2 linked regions of the Anolis sagrei genome follow. The protein of the gene in region 1 purifies or fractionates together with the protein of each later gene. This does not show direct contact. Links are inferred from orthologs where the notes say so. Each region holds a gene or a part of one and is shown on either strand. Other genes may lie near its edges.

What was found.
Region 2: the proteins of DTX3 (region 1) and RNF114 purify together in Homo sapiens (affinity purification with mass spectrometry; 3 studies listed by BioGRID and IntAct, counting the BioPlex papers as one, with this or other methods). This does not show direct contact. The link is inferred for Anolis sagrei from reciprocal best matches to the Homo sapiens genes DTX3 and RNF114.

What each region holds. Positions count from the first base shown.
Region 1 is NC_090022.1:186,264,199-186,275,945, reverse strand, and holds the start of DTX3 (probable E3 ubiquitin-protein ligase DTX3), read right to left. Parts: upstream 4,258-11,747; 5' UTR 3,992-4,257; intron 1-3,991. UniProt on the Homo sapiens protein: Regulator of Notch signaling, a signaling pathway involved in cell-cell communications that regulates a broad spectrum of cell-fate determinations.
Region 2 is NC_090024.1:221,681,264-221,693,021, reverse strand, and holds the start of RNF114 (E3 ubiquitin-protein ligase RNF114), read right to left. Parts: upstream 4,536-11,758; 5' UTR 4,400-4,535; coding exon 4,248-4,399; intron 1-4,247. UniProt on the Homo sapiens protein: E3 ubiquitin-protein ligase that promotes the ubiquitination of various substrates. In turn, participates in the regulation of many biological processes including cell cycle, apoptosis, osteoclastogenesis as well as innate or adaptive immunity.

The sequences.
Region 1 (11,747 bases):
CACCTTCATCCAGAGAGCACTGTGGACTCAAACAATGATGGATCTGGATCAAACTTGGCACAGATACTCAATGTGCCGAAATGTGAACATTGGTAGAGTTTGGGGGTAAATAGACCTTGACATTTGGCAGTTGTAGTTGTGGGATTTATAGTTCACCTACAATCAAAGAGCATTCTGGACCCCACCAATAATAGAATTGAGCCAAACTTCCCACATAGAACCCTCATGACCAACAGAAAATACTGTGTCTTCTGATGATCTTTGGTGACCCCTCTGACATCTTCTCATGACCCTCCCCCCCAGGGGTCCAAACCCCCAGGTTGAGAAACGCTGCACTACACCCACTGGAGACCCTTCCACATGGCCCTATATCCCAGAATATCAAGGTAAAAAATCCTACATTATCTGAGTGTGGCTTCAGATAACCCAAAGCTGATATGGTGGGATTTTCTGCCTTGATATTCTGGGATATAGGGCTGCGTGGAAGGGCCCTGGGACTGGGTTATGGAGATTATCGTGCAAGATTTCTACAGAGGAGACTAATCTAAGTCTTCGGGAATTAAACATGCCAACTAAACAGCGATTCTTATGTCAGAGTGCATCTTACTCTACAGAATTTATAACAGTTTCTATGCTATGTTAACCTAATTGCCATGGCTCAATGGCATGGAATCATGGGAGTTTTAGATACACGTCTCTAGGGGTCCTTCCACACAGCCATATAACCCAGAATATCTGCTTTGAACTGGGTTATCTGAGTCCACACTGCCATATATTCCAGTTCAAAGCAGAAAATGTGGGATTTTATTCAGTGGTGTGGAAGGGGCCTTAGTCTTCTCTGCTAAAGAGTGCTGGCACCTCACCAAATGATTCCACAGCACTGAACCATGGCAGTTAAAGTGGTGTCAAACTGCATTCATTTTACAGTGTGGATGCACACCGAGTGGAAGACTTTACAAAAGAGGTGGTGGAAGAAGAAAAGGAAGAAGAGGAAGCAGCCAGTCAGCTTAAATAGTTATTTATATTTGATAGTGAGCCTGACGTACATTGTCAAAGAACTCAGCACATAAACTTCATCCAACTCTACAAGAAATCATCAAAAAAGAACTCTACAACAACCAACCGACCGTGCAAAGAAGATGCAGCAAAAACTAACAACACAGTCCCAATGTCTCCAGCTTTCATGACCTGTTGGACCTTGAGTAGGAGGAGAAAAACACACAGCCTTGCCATGTAGGAAAAAAATGCACCCCTACCCAAGGATCAGAAAGGGTTGCTTTTTATTTCCTGCCTTTTCTCTCAAGATGGAGGCTAAGGGACTTACCCTACAGAATTGAGCAACCCTTCAAAAATGGATTTATATTTTTCTCTCTCAATGGCAGCCTGCAAGAAGAATTACACCAAACAAGGCAGTCCAGCCAGCAGAGGTGGTCCATATATTTGATCTCGGGGATGCAATTCATACTCGTGAGAGTTGTGAATGGGGAATGTCTTCTGATGCTGTTTTTCCCAAACAACACCCGCTCCCCCCAATGATGACTAGCTGCGCCAGGCTGAAAGCTACTTTGCCTTTGTAGACACATAACCGCGATGCATGGATACAGGAGCCTTGCCTTTATCTGGACAGCCTTTGATCCAGGTGACCTTGGGCAAGGCCGAGACTGTACCTTTCTGTGGGTCTCACCTGGCTGATAAAAGATCACAGGCCTGGTCTATTGTCAGTCAGGGAGAGGGGGTGAAAAAAGGAAAACAAACATGGCAAAAGGAGGGGAAAAGGAAGGGAAAAAGGAAGAAGGAAAGACATAAAAATATTTTAGTGGGCAGAGGAAAGAACGCCTTTCCCTCCTTGAGATCCAGTTCAGGGTGGTGGTGGGGAGAGGCTTTATTATTAGTAACCTCTTCCGACGACTAGCGGATCCACGCATGAGATCTTGTTTATCAAAGACAAGAGAGAGTCCCATCTTTCTTTGGAAGGAATAAAGGATAAATAGGGAACAATAGAGAAGCGGACCACCAATGGGGTGGAAGACAATGGCTCGGAAAATAAGCCTCGGCGCCCCATCCTTTTGGATCTGATCCCAATTGGAGCCACTTCTGTCCCCATATTCCCCCCCCCCCCCATATATATGTGTGTGTGTATGTGTGTGTGTGTGTGTATATATATATATATACATAGACCTCTATTTTCCCACCTTGGCAAACATTCCAGAGGTCTATCCTTTTGGACATATTTATTTATGTTACACCTCCAAAACAAAAAAACAACAACATCCATACACCTCTATTTTTCAGACCACTTCCCTTAGAGAATGAGGCGAGCACCTCCCAAAATTATACATAGACCTCTATTTTTCAACCTGGGAAAACAATCCAGACTTCTATCCCTTTGGACCAGTTCCAAATTGGTGCTAGATTAATATATTTATTTATTTTACGCTTCCAAAACAAAACCATCCATAATACACCTCTATTTTTAGACCACATCCCTTGGAAAATGAGGCTACTACCTCCCAAAATATATAAATAAATCCCCATTTTTCCACCTGGGAAAATAATACCTTTGGACCAGCTCCCAAGTGGTGCTAGATTAGTATATTTCTTTATTTTACGCCTCCAAAACAAAACTATCCATAATACACTTCTATTTTTTAGACCACATCCTTTGGAAAATAAGGCCACCACCTCCCAAAAATATAAATAAATCCCTATTTTTCCACCTGGGAAAGTAAGCCTTTTGGTCCTGCTCGTAATTGGAGCTAGATTATTATAATTCTTTATTTTACCCTCCAAAACAAAACCATCCATAATACACTTCTATTTTTTAGACCACATCCCTTGGAATATAAGGCCACCACCTCCCAAAAATATAAATAAATCCCTATTTTTCCACCTGGGAAAATAATATAGATTCCGATCACCTTTGGACCTGCTCCTAATTGGAGCTAGATTAGTATATTTCTTTATTTTACACCTCCAAAACAAAACCATCCATAATACACCTCTATCTTTTAGACAACTTCCCTTGGAAAATGAGACCACCACCTCCCAAAAATATAAATAAATCCTCATTTTCCACCTGGGAAAGTAATACCTTTGGACCAGCTCCCAATTGGTGCTAGATTAGTGTATTTCTTTATTTTATGCCTCCTAAACAAAACCATCCCTAATATACACCTCTATCTTTTAGACCACATCCCTTGGAAAATGAGACCCCCACCTCCCAAAAATATAAATAAATCCCTATTTTTCCACCTGGGAAAATAATCCAGACTCCGATCCCTTTTGGACCTGATTGTAATTGAAGCTAGATTAGTATATTTATTTATTTTACACCTCCTAAACAAAACCATCCCTAATACACCTCTATTTTGCAGACTACTTTCCCTGGAAAATGAGGCCAGGGGAGGCATCAATTTGGACCTGCTCTCCTTAACCATTTGACACCCTGATTGGAGGCAAAACAAAAAAACACCCCTATGGATGCACAAAAAAATAATCATCCAAATACACCCCCTATGGTAAGACCCTATATCGCTTCCCCTCCCCAAAATAAGAGATTGTCAATGAGGGAAATACTCCCTGCTTCAACCTCACAAAGGTGGGCACTAGGTGAGCTCCATCCAGGATTGACACAACTGTATCAATCTCTTTTGGGGGGGGGGGGGGCACCCACTTCAATGCTTTTAGGGGGGCATAAAGGAGATGCTGCATTTTTAAAAAGGTTGTGGGGCCTTTAAAAAAAAGGTAGGGGCCCCCACCTGCAAGTTCCCCCAAATAATACAACAAGGCAGAGACCCAGCCCCAAAAAACACTCAACAAGGCAAGGGCTGATGCTGCAGCTGTTTGCAATGCGCCACATGCAGAGGCGTTTTTGATGAGGTCCAGACGGCGGCGGTGCCTTGTTTCGCGATGGATTCTCCCCTCCTCCCCCGGCTCCTGCTTCCCCCGCTTCCTCCCCCTCTGAAGCGACACGATCCCGAGATAAACCCACCATAGCGGCACCTCTGGGGGCGGCAGGGAGGCTCCATCCATCGAGGCTGAGGAAGAGCTGACGTGCCGGAGGAGGAGAAGGTTGCCAAAGGGAGAGCAGGAGGAGGAGGAGGCGCTGCTGGCTGCTGCTTGCTTTGCTTCTTCCTCCTCCTGCCGCTGCTGCTGCTTCTGCCTTTGGCGCGCCCGAGGAAGCCTCGCGCCGCCCGGGGTCTTAGCGCCGCCGGTTCCCCTTCCTCCTCCTCCTCTTTCTTCCTCTTTCTCTCCTCCTTCCCCGCCGAGGCGCAGTCACGTGACCGTCGCCATAGCAACAGCCTCGCCAAAGAGCGAGAGAGGGGCCCAGGAGGAGGCTGTGGGCGGGCGTCGAAGAGGAGGAAAGGAGGAGGAGGAGAAAGAAAGAAAAGAGGAGGGGAAAGAGCTGTGGGTTTCTCTGCCCAGAGGGTGGGGGGCCAGGATGCCTTCTCCTACGGCAGGGGGCTGTCAGAGGGGTCGCCAAAGACCATCAGTATTTACCCATTTTCCTCGTTTCCAACAGACCTCACAACTGGGTTGTTATAGGTTTTTTCGGGCTATATGGCCATGTTCTCTAGAAGCATTCTCTCCTGACGTTTCGCCTGCATCTATGGCAAGCATCCACAGAGGTTGTGAGACCTCACAACCTCTGAGGATGCCTGCCACAGATGCAGGCGAAACGTCAGGAGAGAATGCTTCTAGAGAACATGGCCATACAGCCTGAAAAACCCACAGCCTGCACAAACTTTTTAAACAGAGGGCCAGGTCACAGTCCCTCAAACTGTTGGAGGGCTGGATTATAATTTGAAAAAAACATGAATTCCTATGCACGCTGCACATCTCTTATTTGTAGTGCAAAAAAAATTTAAAACAATACAATAATTAAAATGAACAATTTTAACAAATATAAACTTATTCGTATTTCAATAGGAAGTGTGAATCTGCTTTTGGCTGATGAGATAGGGTTGTTGTTGTTGTGTGCTTTCAAGTCGTTTCAGACTTAAGTTGACCCTGAGCGAGGGCCGGGTAAATGACCTTGGAGGGCCGTATCCGGCCCCAAGGCCTTAGTTTGAGGACCCCTGGCCTACACAGTATTTACTGTTAGTCATGGGGGTTCTGTGTGGGAAGTTTGGCCCAATTATATCATTGATTGGGTTCACAATACTCTTTGATTGTAGGTGAACTATAAATCCCAGCAACTACGACTCCCAAATGTCAAGGTCTATTTCCCCCAAACTGCACCAGTGTCCACATTTGGGCATATTGAGTAACCATGCCAAGTTTGGTCCAGATCCATCATTGTTTGAGTCCACGGTGCTCTCTGGATGTAGGTGAACTACAACTCTGAAACCCAAGGCCAATGCCCACCAAACCCTTCCAATATTTTCTGTTGGTCATGGGAGTCCTGTGTGCCAATTTTGGCCCAATTCCATCATTGATGGAATTCAGAATGCTATATGATTGTAGGTAAACTATAAATCCCAGCAACTACAACTCCCAAATGTCAAGGTCTATTTCCCCCAAACTCCACCAGTGTCCATATTTGGGCATATTGAGTATCCATGCCAATTTTGGTCCGGATCCATCATTGTTTGGTCCAGATCCTACATCTCTGGATGTAGGTGAACTACAACTCCAAAACCCAAGGCCAATGCCCACCAAACCCTTCCAGTATTTTCTGTTGATCATGGGAGTCCTGTGTGCCAAGTTTGGTTCAATTTGAGGGTTCATTTCCCTCATTGGTGGAGTTCAGAATGCTCTTTGATTGTAGGTGAAGTATAAATCCTAGCAACTACAACTCCCAAATGTCAAGGTCAATTTTCCCGAAACTCCACCAGTGTCCACATTTGGGCATACTGAGTATCCATGCCAAGTTTGGTCCGGAGCCTTCATTGTTTGACTCCATAGTGCTCTCTGGATGTAGGTGAACTATAACTCCAAAACCCAAGGCCAATGCCCACCAATCCCTTCCAGTATTTTCTGTTGGTCACGGGAGTCCTGTGTGCCAATTTTGGTCCAATTCCATCATAGATGGAATTCATAATGCTCTTTGATTGTAGGTGAACTATAAATCCCAGCAACTACAACTCCCAAATGACAAAATCAATTCTCCCCCAACCCCACCAGTATTCAAATTTAGACATATTGGGTATTTATGACAAATTTGGTCCAATGAATGAAAATACATCCTGCATATCAGATATTTACATTACAATTCATAACAGTGACAAAATTACCATTATGAAGTAGCAACAAAAATAATTTTAAGGTTGGGGGTCACCACAATATGAGGCACTGAATTAAGGGGTTGCAGCATTAGAAAGATTGAGAACCTTACTAAAGCATGCCCAGGGGTGCAGCATCTACACATTGTGGCATTAACACGGTTTGGCACCACTTGCCTCAAGGCGATCATCATTATTAATACTAATATTAGTTAATTTCTATCCCTGGGTTGCTGTGAGTTTTCCAGGCTGTATGATCATGTTCCAGAATCCTTCTCTTCTGATGTTTTGCCCACATCTATGGCAGGCATCCTCAGAGGTTGTGAGGTCTGTTGGAAATTAGGCAAGTGAGGTTTATATATCTGTGGAATATCCAAGGTGGGAGAAAGAACTCTTGTCTGCCTGAGGTAAGTGTGAATGTTGCAATTGATCACCTTGATTAGCATTGAATAGGTTGTTTGAGTTAGCCAAGGATGCATCTGTGCTGTAAAATCAATAGTTTGACATCACTTTAACTGTCATGGCTCAGTGCTATAGAATCAATGGAGATATATATTAGATGTATTCTCTCTTTTTTCAATAGAGTTACCGGCTTGGTAGATGCAGGGAATTGGTGGTTCAGTGGTAGAATTCTCACCTGTCATGTGGGAGGCCCGGGTTCATATCCCAGGCATTGCACCAAATGAAGGGGCACCGATGTAATGATGATGCTCCAATAGCATATCTTGATTTCAGTAAGGCCTTTGACAAAGCCCCCCATGACCTTCTTGCAAGCAAACTAGTTAAATGTGCGCTAGGCAAAACTATTACTACATAGATTTATAATTGGTTTACTTGGTATAATTGGTTACTCCACTTAGGCAGAAAAAACAAAATGCAAAGATACAGAATGGGGGACAATGCCTGGCTCGAGAGCAGTACATGTGAAAAAGATCTTGGAGTCCTTGTGGACAACAAGTTAAACATGAGCCAACAATGACATGTGGCAGCAAAAAAAGCCAATGGGATTTTGGCCTGCATCAATAGGAGTATAGTGTCTAGATCCAGGGAAGTAATGCTACCCCTCTGTTTTGCCTTGGTTAGACCACACCTGGAATATTGTGTCCAATTCTGGGCACCACAATTGAAGGGAGATATTGACAAGCTGGAATGTGTCCAGAGGAGGGCGACTCAAATGATCAAGGGTCTGGAGAACAAGCCCTATGAGGAGAGGCTTAAAGAGCTGGGCATATTTAGCCTGAAGAAGAGAAGGCTGAGAGAAGATATGATAGCCATGTATAAATATGTGAGAGGAAGTCACAGAGAGGAGGGAGCAAGCTTGTTTTCTACTTCTCTGGAGACTAGGACGCGGAACAATGGCTTCAAACAAGAAAGGAGATTCCATCTAAACATTAGGAAGAACTTCCTGACTGTGAGAGCCATTCAGCAGTGGAACTCTCAGCCCTGGAGTGTGGTGGAGGCTCCTTCTTTGGAAGCTTTTAAACAGAGGCTGGATGGCCATCTGTCAGGGGTGCTTTGAATGCAATATTCCTGCTTCTTGGCAGGGGGTTGGAATGGATGGCCCAGGAGGTCTCTTCCAACTCTATGATTCTATAGTTAAGCAACCGAACCCAAAGGGTGCTCACTAATGCTTCCTCTTCATCCTGGAAAGAAGTGACAAGTGGATTGCCACAGTGTTGGGCCCAGTTCTGTTCAACATCTTTAGTAATGATTTGGTAGAAGGTTTAGAAGATGTGCTTATCAAGTTTGCAGATGACACTGAATTAGGAGGAAGAGCTAATACTCCAGATCATACTCACTTTAACAAATTATAGAGCTAAAATAATGAATTTCAACAAGGACTAAAATGTAAGATACTACACTTAGGCAGAAAAATGAAATGCAAAGATACAAGATGTGTGATGCCTGGCTCAACAACAGTACATGTGGGAAAGAACTTGGGAGTCTTTGTGGACAACAAGTTGAACATGAGCCTACAGTGTGATGCAGCAGCTTAAAAAGCCAATGGGATTTTGGACTGCATCAAAAAGAGTATAGTATCTAGATTGTGGGAAGTCATGGTGCCTCTCTATTCTGCTTTGGTTAGTACTCACCTGGAGTCTGGAGACAGTTAATCACTATGATGAGTGTCTTCAAGAACTGGGTATTTTTAGCCTGCCAAAGAAAAGATTGGGAGGAGACATGATAGCTATGTATGAATATGTGAAAGGGTGTCATAAGGTAGAGAGAGCAGGGTTGTTTTCTGCTGCTCTGGAAACTAGGACTTGGAGCAATGGGTTCAAATTACAGGAAAGGATATTCCACCTGAACATTAGGAGGAACTTCCAGACCGTAAGAGCTGTTCAACATTGGAACTCTCTGCCCTGAAGTGTGGTGGAGGCTCCTTCTTTGGAGGCTTTTAAGCAGAGGTTGGATGGCCAATTGTCAGGGATGCTTTGAACATGATTTTCCTGCTTCTTAGCAGGGGGTTGGGCTTTGTAGCCCATGTGGTCTCTTCCAATTCTATTATTCTATGATTGTACATACTAGCCATTCTAAACACCTTTGCAGAAGCATTCAAACAGCTTGATCTCTCACTGAACATTGAGAAAACCAAAATACTCGTGCAGCAGGCACCAGCCAATCCCTCTGCAGAGCTGGAAATACAGCTTAATGTTGTAATGTTAGAAAATGTTGACCATTTCTGCTGCCTTGGCAGCCACCTCTCCACAAAAGTCAGCATCGACACTGAAATATAACACTGCCTGAGCTGTATGAGTGCAGAATTTTTCTGAATGAAGCAGTGTTTGAGGATTGGGACATTTGTAAGGAGACCAAGATGCTTGTTTATAAAACTATTGTCCTCCCAACCCTGCTATACGCCTGCAAAACATGGACCGTCTACTACAGACGTCGCACTCAACTTCTGGAATGATTCCACCAGTGTTGTCTCTGAAAAATCCTGCAAAATCTCTTGGGAAGACAGGCAGACAAATGTCAGTGGTCTGGAAGAAGCAGCAAAGATCACCAGCACTGAAGCAATGCTCCTATGCCATCAACTCTGTTGAACTGTCTACTTTGTCCGAATGCCTGATCACCATTTACCAAAGCACTTACTATACTCCCAACCCAAGAACTAAAATGGTATGTTGCTTGACAAGAAAACAGATTTAAAGATGGGCTTAAAGTCAAGCTTAAAACTGTGGCATAGACACATAGAACTTGGAAGCCATGGCCTTCAAGCATCCTAACTGGAGGTCAATTGTGAGCAACAATGCTGTGGAATTCAAAAAGGCACAAATGGATGGCAAAAGGGATAAACATGCAACAGGAAGGCATGTCAAGCCTTACATCTGGAAATTGATGTCCCCACTGCGAAAGAACATGCGGATACAGAATAGGTCTCTATGGTCTTCTACGTGCTCATCCGCAAAGACCCTTCACTTGGAAGGCAATCTTACTTACCTATTATGATGAGCAGGGTGAGCCACTGCGTTGAAAGTGGTGTCAAACCTCATTCTACAGTGTAAATTGACCGTTCAGCAGTGGAACTCTCTGCCCCGGAGTGTGGTGGAGGCTCCTTCTTTGGAAGCTTTTAAACAGAGGCTGGATGGCCATCTGTCAGGGGTGATTTGAATGCAATATTCCTGCTTCTTGGCAGGGGGTTGGACTGGATGGCCCATGAGGTCTCTTCCAACTCTTTGATTCTATGATTCTATGAAATACATACACAACCCTCTGCCTATTGGCTCCACCTTCTTTCCTCCTCAGGGCACCTAAAACTAAAACTTTATTTTCATTGGTCCTAAGAGCAGATGCATTGGTTCAAGTGTACAGTAGTTGAGTGAGGCATGGAAAAACTCCTGGATTTAGTCTTCTCCATTAAAAATATAGTGATTAGTTATGTCATTTATTTCTATAGTGCTACCCATGTACATGGTGCGTTAGAAGGTAGGTAGGGATCTATTGGGATAGATCCCTGGTGACCGAAAGCAAATTGCTGTCTAAAAATTACCAACTGTGCCAATACATAATTTTATGCAGTATTTTAAGGGTGCATCTCGCAATTGATTTATGTAGCATATTAATGATTCTAATTCTTTATATAGTATTTTAATGGTATATTTTGTATTGTATTTTATAATCTGGCTTTTATGTATTTATTTGTATGTCCTATATGTGAAAGACCTATGGTCTAAGCATTAAATAAACTATCAATAGCAGCATTGGCAGGTGTCCACATGTACTGTTCTTCAAGGACAGGGAGAAACTCAAGTTGGGCAACAGTGACTCAAATGTGAATGTATAGCTATGTGCATATGTTAGTGCAAGAGTTTAGGGTGCAGTAGCTAAATTGGCTTATGTACCGCCATCGTGACGAAATAGGTTCTTCAAGCTTGGCGCCTGTCCTCTTTCTTCATTCATAACAGAAGGGTGGCGTTATCTCCAAACTGCAGACAAAAGATGGATGGGCTAGAGAAGTTTGCCCAAAGCCAAACTGGGACACCCTTTGAATTCAGGACATCTTGGCCTGCAGTCATCAGATCTCATTAGAGACTCCAGAACTGGTTTTAAGAAGCTCAGTGTTGGTGGGCAAGTTATTATTAATTTTACTTGTAGGTACTTTAAGGGGATGGTCAAATTATGCTTCCCATCCATTATCATTGAAACATCCTTGGAATATGAAGTCTTACAAGCACAATAACATACTGAGGAGTGCCCCAGCACCCACTGCTCTCTCACTAGCAGTATGAGGTTTCTTGAAAATGTATCAACAATAGTATAGAGCCATAAAGGGCCACAGTTCCATACTTGTGGATTTAGTTATAGCTGCATAGGTACTACTCTGAACCAATGGCATTTACAGGGGTCGATAGAACTAGAACATTAGAAAATGATTTTCCTGAAGTAGGCATTTTGTATAACAATATGAAAGCTATTACTATTCAGTTGAGAACTGTGCTGCATATACAAAAGTGTAGCAAATTCAGATGATCTTTGGCCCCGTGAATGGAAATGTTTTGTTCAGTGAGACTCCTCAAACCTCACCCTGTGGTGGAGTTGCCTTCTCTGGAGATTTTCAAACAGATGGATGGTCACCCTTGTCAGGAATGCTTTGGGTTTTCCCGCATTGCAGGGGGATGGCCCTTGTGGTCTCTTCCAGTTCTAGGATTTACCATTAAGAACCAAATAACAGAATTAAGTTTTGAATACTGGCATCATTCTCTTCCCTATCCCCCTGAATAAGCGAAGTGGGCAGAGAATAGGGAACAGGGTTATCTCAGTTCCCTATTCTCTGATCACTTCACTTCTTCACATAGGTACACAAATGAGAAAAAAAAAACTAGTCTGCACTTACTGTTGAAATTAACCATGAGACTGAAATTGATTACATATTGTTTTGTGTTCTGCAGCTATTGTTGGATTTTACTGATCTTAATCGGGGGGTTTTGTGATGTTTATGTTGGTTGTTGTTCCTTTGTGTTGTTGTCTTTGCACTTTTTTTAATATTACGTGTTTGCACTTTTGAGTGCTTTGTGAGCC
Region 2 (11,758 bases), on another chromosome or scaffold:
GGTAGCCAGATTTTGTTCATTTTCATGAAAACAATTTTTTTGCCTTGATATTCTGGGATTTAGGGCAGAATGGAAGGGCCCTATGACTCTTATCTTCCACAGATATAACTCGCCCTTATATCCTTTCCCTCCACAGAAACCCCAACCCGCTCTCAGCACCTATAGCTCTCGTTGTTACCTTGCCCCCCCCCCCTCCACACAGCCTTACATCACACAAAATCAAGGCAGAAATCCCACAATATCTGCTTTGAGCTGGGTTATGTGAGTTCACACTCAGATAATGAGATTTTTTGCCTTGATATTCTGGGATTTAGGGCAGTATGGAAGGTTCCTATGACTCTATCTTTCACAGATATTATTATTATTATTAAACTTTATTTGTACCCCGCTAGCATCTCCCAAAGGACTCGATGCGGCTTGCAAAGGCCAAGGCCTCAACACAACAACAGCAAACAATAACAATACGATGCAAAGCAAATTAAAAACATAAGCAATAACAAAACATTACACTATTATGCAATAAAAACCAGGGCCGGGCCAGTGATGGGCACAGGTTAAAAAGTGCTGGGTGTGAAAGGTAGTATGTTGGGATTCTGGGCAAGTGCAATGAGAGTCTTAAACTGTAATAAACTGCTTCTGGGACATAGTGCTGGGGGTTATCCTATTCCGGAAAGGCACATCGGAATAGCCAGGTCTTCAAGTTCTTCCTAAAGACTGCCAACGTGGGTGCTAGTCTAATGTCTTTGGGGAGGGTGTTCCAGAGTCAGGGGCAACCACAGAGAAGGCCCTGTCCCTTGTCCCTTGTCCCCACCAAATGCGCCTGTGACGCAGGTGGGATCGCGAGCAGGGCCTCTCTGGATGAACGATACAACAATATACCAATACATCAATATAACAAATCCATCAGATCTCATCACTAGAATCAGAATCCAGTCTCGTTATCCATTATTCCATGTTCAATCAATTGCACTGCTTAGTCAAATGCCTGTTCAAATAGCCAAGTCTTCACTTTTCTCTGGAATGTCAGTAAGGAGGGGGCCGATCTGATGTCTGCAGGAAGGGCGTTCCACAGCCAAGGGGCCACCACTGAGAAGGCCCTGTCTCTCGTCCCTGCCAAGCGTGCTTGTGAAGCTGGCGGGACCGAGAGCAGGGCCTCCCCAGACGATCTTAATGTCCTAACTGGTTCATAGGAGGAGATGCGTTCGGACAGGTAGATCGGACCAGAACAGTTTAGGGCTTTAAAGGCTAAAGCCAGTACTTTGAATTGTGCCCGGTAGCAAATTGGCAGCCACCTTGAATTGGGTTCGGTAGGTAAAGGGCAGCCAATGGAGCTCCTTAAACAGGAGGGTTGACCTCTCTCTGTAAGGAGCGCCAGTTAACATCCTGGCCGCCGCCCGTTGGACCAGTTGGAATTTCCGAGCCGTTTTCAAGGGTAGCCCCACATAGAGCGCATTACAGTAATCCAACCTAGAGGTGACTAAGGCATGGACCACCCCGGCCAAATACAACTCGTCCTTTACACTTGATCTTAGCCAAAAGGCCGAGAAGCGATGTCCAGAAGTCATCGTGGATGGCGGCTCTGAATAATGAGCTGGCTGGATTCGGTCTGCCTTTGCAATTTCTGGGTGTTCTGGGTCTGGGGGCAGGGCAAGTGCTCAAGCGGCGCATTAGGGATGTCTATGCACAGCTGGACCTAGAGAGCATAGGTAGGTCTTCAGCCACAAGGTTTTTAGCTTCCCACAAAAAGGAATATTCATTTAGAGCACTACCTAACTATTCCACTTCCTCTACCCTTAGACCCATCGCAAACTCTGTTCCTGCGGGAGAAAACCTTGCTAGCAAGTCCCTGACGTCACGAGACTCCGCCTCTCGCCCCGCCCCTTTCTCCACCCCTTTCTCCGTGCGAGAGTGGTTTTTCCTTTGCTAGGGCAGCATTGCCAGCATACTCTCTCAGTTGGCAGAATTCAACTGAGAGAAAATGCGGGCAATGCTGCCCTAGCAAAGGAAAAACCACGCTGGCAAAGAGAAAGGGGCGGAGAAAGGGGCGGGGAGAGAGACGCAGGCTCATGACGTCAGGGACTTGCTAGCAAGGTTTTCTCCCGCAGGAACCTAGTTTGCGACGGCTCTTAAGAAGAATATATACTAGGGCTAGGTTTGAACAACTCGGTACGATGGTGCAAACCGGGTGTTACTGTAACATCCCAAGAAGTGAGAGATTCTGCGTCTGGGGAGAACAAACAGTGGAAGACATTGGACATTTCTTAATTGACTGTCCAGCATATACTGAACTGCGAGACACATATTTACATCTAATATTATCCAACTGCAGGTTCCCCAACAGAAATGATATTCTGAGATCCCTCTTGCAAGGGCAGGAAAGATCCAGCATCATCAGAGTAAGCCTTTTTATTCTGAAAGCTATTAAGAAAAAAACAGATTTCCTGAAAGAAGAACCAGGAAAATAAGATTCTGACTTATCACCTTGCTTGTTTTTTACTCGTGTTCTATTTTGAAATGGTCATATGACTGATCAAATAAATTATTATTATTATTATTATTAACTCGTCCTTTTATCCTTTCCCTTCACAGAAACCCCAACGTTGTGACCTAGCCCCCCCCCCCCTTCCCAGGGCCCTTCCACACAGCCCTGTTGTTGTTGTTCATTCATTCAGTCGTCTCCGACTCTTCGTGACCTCATGGACCAGCCCACGCCAGAGCTCCCTGTCAGCCGTCACCACCCCCAGCTCCTTCAAGGTCAGTCCAGTCACTTCAAGGATGCCATCCATCCATCTTGCCCTTGGTCGGCCCCTCTTCCTTTTGCCTTCCTCTTTCCCCAGCATAATTGTCTTCTCTAGGCTTTGCTGTCTCCTCATGATGTGGCCAAAGTACTTCAACTTTGTCTCTAGTATCCTTCCCTCCAGTGAGCAGTCGGGCTCTATTTCCTGGAGGATGGACTGGTTGGATCTTCTCGCAGTCCAAGGCACTCTCAGAACTTTCCTCCATCACCACAGTTAAAAAGCATCAATCTTCCTTCGCTCAGCCTTCCCTAAGGTCCAGCTCTCACATCCGTAGGTTACTACAGGGAATACCATGGCTTTGACTAGGCGGATCTTTGTTGCCAGTCTGATGTCTCTACTCTTTACTATTTTATCGAGATTGGACATTGCTCTCCTCCCAAGAAGTAAGCGTCTTCTGATTTCCTGGCCACAGTCTGCATCTGCAGTAATCTTTGCACCTAGAAATACAAAGTCTGTCACGGCCTCCACATTTTCTCCCTCTATTTTCCAGTTGTCAATCATTCTTGTTGCCATAATCTTGGTTTTTTTGATGTTTAGCTGCAACCCGGCTTTTGCGCTTTCTTCTTTCACCTTGATTAGAAGACTCCTCAGCTCCTCCTCGCTTTCGGCCATCAGAGTGGTGTCATCTGCATATCTGAGGTTGTTAATGTTTCTTCCAGCAATTTTCACCCCAGCTTTGCATTCATCAAGCCCCGCACAACGCATGATGTGTTCTGCATACAAGTTAAAAAGGTTGGGTGAGAGTATGCAGCCTTGCCGTACGCCTTTCCCAATCTTGAACCAGTCTGTTGTTCCGTGGTCAATTCTGACTGTTGCTACTTGGTCCTTGTACAGATTTCTCAGGAGAGAGACAAGGTGGCTTGGTATGCCCATCCCACCAAGAACTTGCCACAGTTTATTATGATCCACACAGTCAAAGGCTTTAGAGTAGTCAATGAAGCAGAAATAGATGTTTTTCTGAAACTCCCTGCCTTTCTCCATTATCCAGCATCCGGATATTGGCAATCTGGTCTCTGGTTCCTCTGCCTTTTCTAAACCCAGCTTGAACATCTGGCAACTCTCGCTCCATGTATTGCTGGAGTCTTCCTTGCAAGATTTTGAGCATTACCTTACTGGCATGAGAAATCAGGGCCACTGTACGGAGGTTGGAGCAGTCTTTCGCATTTCCCAGCCCTACATCCCACAAAATCAAGGCAAATCCCACAATATCTGCTTTGAACTGTGTCCACACTGCCATATATTCCAGTTCAAAGCAGAAAATGTGGGGTTTCATTCAGCTGTGTGGAAGGGGCCCCAAACAAGGCTGAGGCTGCCCTTCCTTGCCCTCCCCTCCCACCCTTTCCCTCAATATCCCTGGTTGCCATTACATCCCCGAGGCCTGCTGTTGGTCTTCCTCAGGGCCTCCTCTCCTCTCCTCGCCCTCCCCTTCCCCTTCCCCTGAGTTCTCACACATGGCCGCAGGGGGCTCGCACGGGGCCCTCGAACACCTCCAGGCACACCGGGCAGGTGAAGCGGGACAGCGGGTCCAGCGAGTTCGCAGCGACGGCGGAGGCAGCAGCAGCCCCCTCTGGGTACCGAGAGCTCGCCTCAGCCAACGCCATCTTCGTGAGAGACAGACCTCGACAGTTATCCCAACGGTAGCACAACAATTCTACCAAACGCGAAAGAGGAACGAACGACGGCGGCCTAAAAGGGACAACACGGCCCAGGCCCCGCCCAGCGAGCCTAAGCCACGCCCACCGAGCCCAACTGCACAGGCGCGGCAGGAATAGCGTTCCTAATGGCTGGGAGTTTGTGTGGGAGGGGACTCTTGTGTACTTTGCCCATCGGCTTCCAACTGGGTGGCACCCCACGATGCAGGCGAAACGTCAGGAGAGAATCATAGAATTGGAAGAGACCTCATGGGCCATCCAGTCCAACCCCATTCTGCCAAGAAGCAGGAATATTGCATTCAAATCACCCCTGACAGATGGCCATCCAGCCTCTGTTTAAAAGCTTCCAAAGAAGGAGCCTCCACCACACTCCAGGGCAGAGAGTTCCACTGCTGAACGGCTCTCACAGTCAGGAAGTTCTTCCTCATGTTCAGATGGAATCTCCTCTCTTGTACGTTGAAGCCATTGTTCTGTGTCCTAGTCTCCAGGGAAGCAGTAAACAAGCTTGCTCCCTCCTACCTGTGGCTTCCTCTCACATATTTATACATGGCTATCATATGTCCTCTCAGCCTTCTCTTCTTCAGGCTAAACATGCCCAGCTCCTTAAGCCGCTCCTCGTAGGGCTTTTTCTCCAGACCCTTGATCATTTTAGTCGCCCTCCTCTGGACACATTCCAACTTGTCAATATCTGCGTTTAATTGTGTGGGATGGGACTCTTGGAACATCCCGGTTGTGTACTTTGCCCATCGGCTTCCAACTGGATGGCACTCCACGATGCAGGCGAAACGTCAGGAGAGAATCATAGAATCAAAGAGTTGGAAGAGACATCATGGGCCATCCAGTCCAACCCTCTGCCAAGAAGCAGGAATATTGCATTCAAATCACCCCTGACAGATGGCCATCCAGCCTCTGTTTAAAAGCTTCCAAAGAAGGAGCCTCCACCACACCCTGGGGCAGAGAGTTCCACTGCTGAACGGCTCTCACAGTCAGGAAGTTCTTCCTCGTGTTCAGATGGAATCTCCTCTCTTGTAGAACATGGCCATATAGCCCAAAAAACCTAGAACAACCCAACTTATTATTTATTCATATCAGGAGCGAACCAACAGTTGTATTTTCTTTAAAAGAGGGGGGGAAACCCACAAAGTTTGCAAATTTGGCATTCTATGAAATGTTCTTTGACCTGTAGCTGGCCACTTAGAGTGCCTCTGGTGTTGCTACAAGAAGGTCCTCCACTGAGCATGTAGCAGGGCTCAGACTGTAGCAACACCAGAGGCACTCTAAGTGGCCAGCTACGGGTCAAAGAACATTTCATAGAATGCCAAGTTTGCGAGGTTTGTGGGTTTTCCCCCCTCTTTTAAAGACAATACAACTGACTCACCCTGGTCATTCCACAGATAGATAAACCCTTTTTCCTAGTTCCAAGAGACCTCACTACCTCTGAGGATGCTTGCCATAGATGCAGGCGAAACATCAGGAGAGAATGCCTCTAGACCATGGCGATATAGCCTGAAAAAACCTACAAGAACCTAAATAAATGTATGCTGAAACTTTCGACGCAATAATTAAAGGTGCAAGAACCCTTCTAATTTTAAATCTAGCAAGTCTAATTTCTTTGTTCCTGGAAACTATGTGGATTGACAGCTGATAGCTTGCACAGTGACACAAGTCTAGGAACCACCACTTCCAATGGTTCGAAATAGGAGTTCAAAACAAGGACTGTCCTGTAACAGTATTTCAAAAAGAAGATTGTTATCCATTAAAGGGACAGGTGACCACTTATCCTCCTATTATACCATCACCATCTGGATTAAACGATCAGGTCTAAAGCAATTTGGGAAAAAAACATGATCCCCACAATAGCCATGATAAAAGGTGAATACTGGATTTGATAAACCCCTTTGCCCAAATACTGTCCTTTAGGATGATGAACTGAGATCTACCACAAATAACATTGTCTTGACTCTGTTTAGGTTTGTTGTTTGCACACCAGGGATATCCTGAACAGGATTGTTCTCAAAGCAAGTTGTGTACTGTCTGCTTTAAGATCAAAGTGCAAAAGTATTCAGCAGAGATCTGCTTAAAAAAACGGAGAAGCAATAAGTCACACATGCTTTCTTTTTCATTCCAGATTTTCTCACACATTATGAAAACTAGGTGTGGAAAAAGATGTTACATAACAATTTATGAGGCATCGAATGCACTGAAATTCTAAATCCTGGATCATTAGTGAGCAGGCAATTCTGGCAAGTGTCCTACAACTCTAAAATAAAGGTGATCCCAAGGAGCTAAACTTGAGTGCAGCGTTTTCCATTAAAATGAATAGACGTAATGCCTATAGCATGATTTTCCATTTTAAGATTGGCCTTTTCACTGGCCAGAAAAAATGTCATTCAAATACATAGAAATCTAAAGAGATGTGGCAAGACTCTGATCTAATTTCTATATGAATTAATTTACAGCATCAGTAGTTTCCATATGAATTAATTTGTAGCTTTGGTAGTTTCCATATTAATTAATTAGGAGCCCTCGGTGATGCAGTGGGTTAAACTCTTGTGCTGGCAGGACTGAAGACCAGCAGGTCAAAGGTTCAAATCCAGGGAGAGTGCAGATGAACTCCCTCTGTCAGCTCCAGCTTCTTATGCAGGGACATGAGAGAAACCTCCTACAATGTTGATAAAACATCAAAACATCTGGGTGTCCCCTGGGTGACGTCCTTGCAGACAGCCAATTCTCTCACACCAGAAGCCACTTGCAGTTCCTCAAGTCGCTCCTGACACGAAAAAATAATAATTCACCCACTATGAGGCATGCTGACACTATCAGGTTCCCACCTTTCTCCAGGTATAGCTGCTAAGTGTCCTTTATATGTTTTCAGAACAAACAAGCAATGTACATGAAGCATCAGTATTGTGTATATGTGCCTTCAGGTCACCTATAAACATACAACGATACCACAAATTTAACAAGGTTTTCTTAGGCAAGGAATCCTCAGAAGTGGTTTTGCCAATTTCTTCTTCTGAAATATCGCCTCTAGCACCTGTGATTTCCTGGCGGACTCCAAGCCAAGTACCAACCAGGGCTGTTCCTGTTTAGCTTCCAAAATCAGACAAGATCTGGTGCCTTTAGGCTATTTAAGCTAAACTGACTAGTTATTCTTCACTTTGGAGGTGCCAGAACTGAGAATGCTTCACCTGCTAATTTCTGGGGTGTGTGTGCCTCCATTTATTCCCATCACATCAATTAGGTTATGACACTGTTATAACCTAATTGATGTCAGACCAGAGCCTGGAAATGTTACATATCTGATAATGTCAGACCAGAGCCTGGAAATGTTACACGTTTGGATTACAACTTTTTGAGAAAAGTAACAGTCTCTATTCTTTCTTAGATGTGGCCAATTATGTTTTGACTAGTCAGTTTCAAAGTTGAAGTACTTTGGCCACATCATGAGGAGACAGCAAAGCCTAGAGAAAACAATTATGCTGGGGAAAGTGGAAGGCAAAAGGAAGAGGGGCCGACCTAGGGCAAGATGGATGGATGGCATCCTTGAAGTGACTGGACTGACCTTGAAGGAGCTGGGGGTGGTGACGGCCGACAGGGAGCTCTGGCGTGGGCTGGTCCATGAGGTCACGAAGAGTCGGAGACGACTGAACGAATGAACAACAACAACAAGTCAGTTTAGCTGATTTTTTAACTTTGACCCAAATAAGTGCATAATCTCTGCTATTCTAGTTGTATTATGGATGAACAACAACACTATTTTATTTGGTAGGAGACAAATAAGTCACCTATATAGCTCCCAGATATAATTAATTGGGGCTTTCCATTTAATTGAAACACATTTCATTAGTGACCCCACCATAAAGGTCAATTTCCAACTGCTTTGGTTGGAGTGTGAAGGGATGGGTGTGTTGTTTTTGTGATGTGTGCTGGGGAAAGCATTTAATTTCGTTGTACAATGACAATGAAGTTATTGTTCTTTGGTCAACTTGTTAGGCTTTGTTCATCTTCATGGGTCCTTGTCAGCCACAAGAACTCCAATCTGAACAATAATATTTTTTTTTACTTGGCACATATTTTTCTTTGGACCAGATTTTTTCTTGTATAGGTGACATATAGGAGTTTCATGCCGAAGACAAAAGCTAAGAGTTACGAGTGGGAGGGGAGAAGTATGAATCATCATGCAATATGGAGAAATTCTCATCACTAACTGCAGTTATTTGTCACTGCTGGCATCAGGTCACCATCTGATGATTTATGTTTTGAATCCATACGTTGTTGCATGCAGTGTGTGACAGGGAACAGAAGACGATTGCACAGAACAGAACAGAAGCTGTGTGTGGGCACTATGTTGTAGCTGTGACAAGAGGGAAAAATCCATAGTGGAAGGCTGCAGACAAAAGGATTAGACTGTTGGTGGTGGCTTTTGCACATAATATGTGCAGAAATTAATACTCACTCCTCCCTCCCCCCATGAAAGAAGATATGGTAAATGTGGGAGAAATGAAGAGAGAAGTGTCATTCCATCATCACTGTTACCAAGTACCGAAATGCTTATTATCATGGCAAGAAGTAGGATAAGAAAAGAGGGTGTGTGTGTGTACTGCAGAGTGAGATGTACTTAATTTATGTGCACCACACATTTGACGTGCCACATCTACAAAGAACTAGATGTACCCTCCTAGGAGATTCCTCAGGGAGCCAGCATGGCAAAGTGACTTCAGCATGGGATGATGACTGGAAATCAGGGCTTGAATCCCTGCTCTGCTATAGAAACAGCTCTGGTGACCTAAGGTGAGTTACACTCTCTCAGCCTCAGAGGGGCAAGGGCCCCCTCTGAACAAGTTTTGTCAAGAAAACTGCATATAGGTTTGTCACCATAACTCAGGAATAACTTGAAGGTGCCACAACAAAGGGTATTCCCTCAATCAATATTCATGCTTTGCCCTCATCACTACAATATTTTTTTTTCATAGGAATGACTGCCAAAAAGGCAAAGACATCTTAGATCCCAATCTGGGAGAAAGGCAGGATGTAAATCTAATACAGACATATATACATACCTAAAAGAAGGCACTTATGAGAAAAGTTAATCCTCTGGTCAGAGAGAGACTTAATATCAGGTATCTCAAGCCCTACCTACACTGATAGTTTGATGAAGTTTCAACTGTAGCAACTAGACAACGAAATGCACAAAAGAGAGTCCTGAGTAAGCATCAGTGCTCTGTAGTTTGTGTAATCATCCACACAGCAAAACCACTTTCTTCAACAGCAGTTTGAAACTGCATTAAATAGTCAGTATATATGGGGCCTTAGATAGCATTTGCTGGGGAGTGGCTACAATGTGTTGGAGGAAAAAGCTGCAACCTGCACACCAAAGCTATTCTGAGTTCCTGTCTCAGGAGAATGACAGGATAAAAATAAATTAAACAAACTTGCTCATGCACTTTGCCTTATACCTCTAAAATGAAAATGGAGGACACTGATCCACTACCAGTGTTGAGAAATTCAGCTATCGGTTTTGTTAGTTTTTATATAGGGAACAAGAAGAGGAAGCCTCTTGCCCTTTGTTTCAGGATATTTCTGATACATTTGTTACACTTACATCCTAACTTTCCTTTAACAAGCTCAAAACAGCTCTTCTGTAACTCAGTTCAATAAAGTTGAACACATATATCCTCCAAGTCAAGTCTCTGGTTTTTCATGACTGTGTTTGGACTTTTGTTTTTGTACTAGCAACTTAATACAACTATAAGACAAATGCTTTTCTCTACCAAAGGTCTTTACCTGCTTATCTGTGGATGTGTAACTGACCACCAGAAGGGGATTCTTGTCACTCCATCTGCAAGCTGGCATGCTTTGCATTTCAGCTGAATTACTTACACACACACACAACACCCACGTATGTTGTTATAAATGTCTCTCCGCTGAAGCTATAACCCATGCATTTAAGGAAGCACTCCTAGTCGATGAAAGCTTATGCTACATAAATAGGCGTTTAAGATACCACAAGGTATATATATATATCTACATTGAAATAGGATAATACAGGTCTTGCCTATATTGACTGAAATTCCGACACACCTTGTTCTGAATTTAACATGCACAATGCATTTTTATGGACATTACTCCATTTTTAATACTTGCTTTTTACCCTGAGGTTTTACAGAAATCTGGATTTTTAGGCATGTAGCTGTCCCTCCAAGTGAGCGGAATTGGTTGGTGAGCATTTCTACCAGGATGTAGCTTTTTCCCAGTTTTAATGTAAGTATGCAAACACAGTACTCACATATTAGTATATCAGCATCAATGCACCTCTGCTTAACAGAAAATAAGTTTATTTGCATGCATGATAGCAAAAAACACTCACAAAAATTATCTATAGCCATGTGGCTGAAAATAATGTGAAGGATTTTTTTTTTGTCATGTCAGGAGCGACTTGAAAAACTGCAAGTCGCTTCTGGTGTGAGAGAACTGGCCGTCTGCAAGGACATTGCCCAGGGGATGCCCAGATGATTTTTGATGTTTTTATCAACCTTGTAGGAGGCTTCTCTCATGTCCCCGCATGAGGAGCTGATAGAGGGAGCTCATCCGCCTCTCCCCGGATTTGAACCTGCAGCCTGTCGGCACAGGGGTTTAACCCACTGCACCACCGGGGGCTCCTCATGTGAAGGATTGGAAATGTGGATCGCTTTTTGTAAGAGAGAAGAGGAGATAAAAATCTCAATTAGCTAAGAAGAGGGAGAAAAGAAAAACAATGCAAGTATGGAGCCAAATGTTTCTAATGCAGTGCCAAATGATACTGTTTAACGATGCACAAAGAAATGGAGAGGACTGCATGCTGGTGACAGAAGGTTTATATTGTTTTCACAGAGCTTATCCTGACTTTCAATTTCTTAGGAGGGGAAGTGCATTCTTTTGGTAAGAAACTGAAGCACATGTTATAACCCAGCTGTCAAGGATGAAATTAGATCTACAGTTTTAAGAACAACCACCATGTACTCTTCACCTGTAGTGTGAAACTGCCGACTTCACAAAGGGCATGTATTTTTTGGCACGTCTGTTAGATCAACTGTCAGCTAGTTGCCTTCCCCTTCTATTGCAAGTTGTCCTATCCATCCTATATATGTAATGGCTGCATGTGCTTGCTTGTTTTTGACCATGTCTGACTTAGCTAACAAGCAAATAGACAAAAGCTGGGAGTTGGAGTGAGGAAACGTGGCCTCGTAAGTGCTGGAGTAGAGGTTTTCCCCCTGGCTCAAACTTGTTCATACAGAAACCTTAAAGGTAAAGGTTTCCCCTGACATT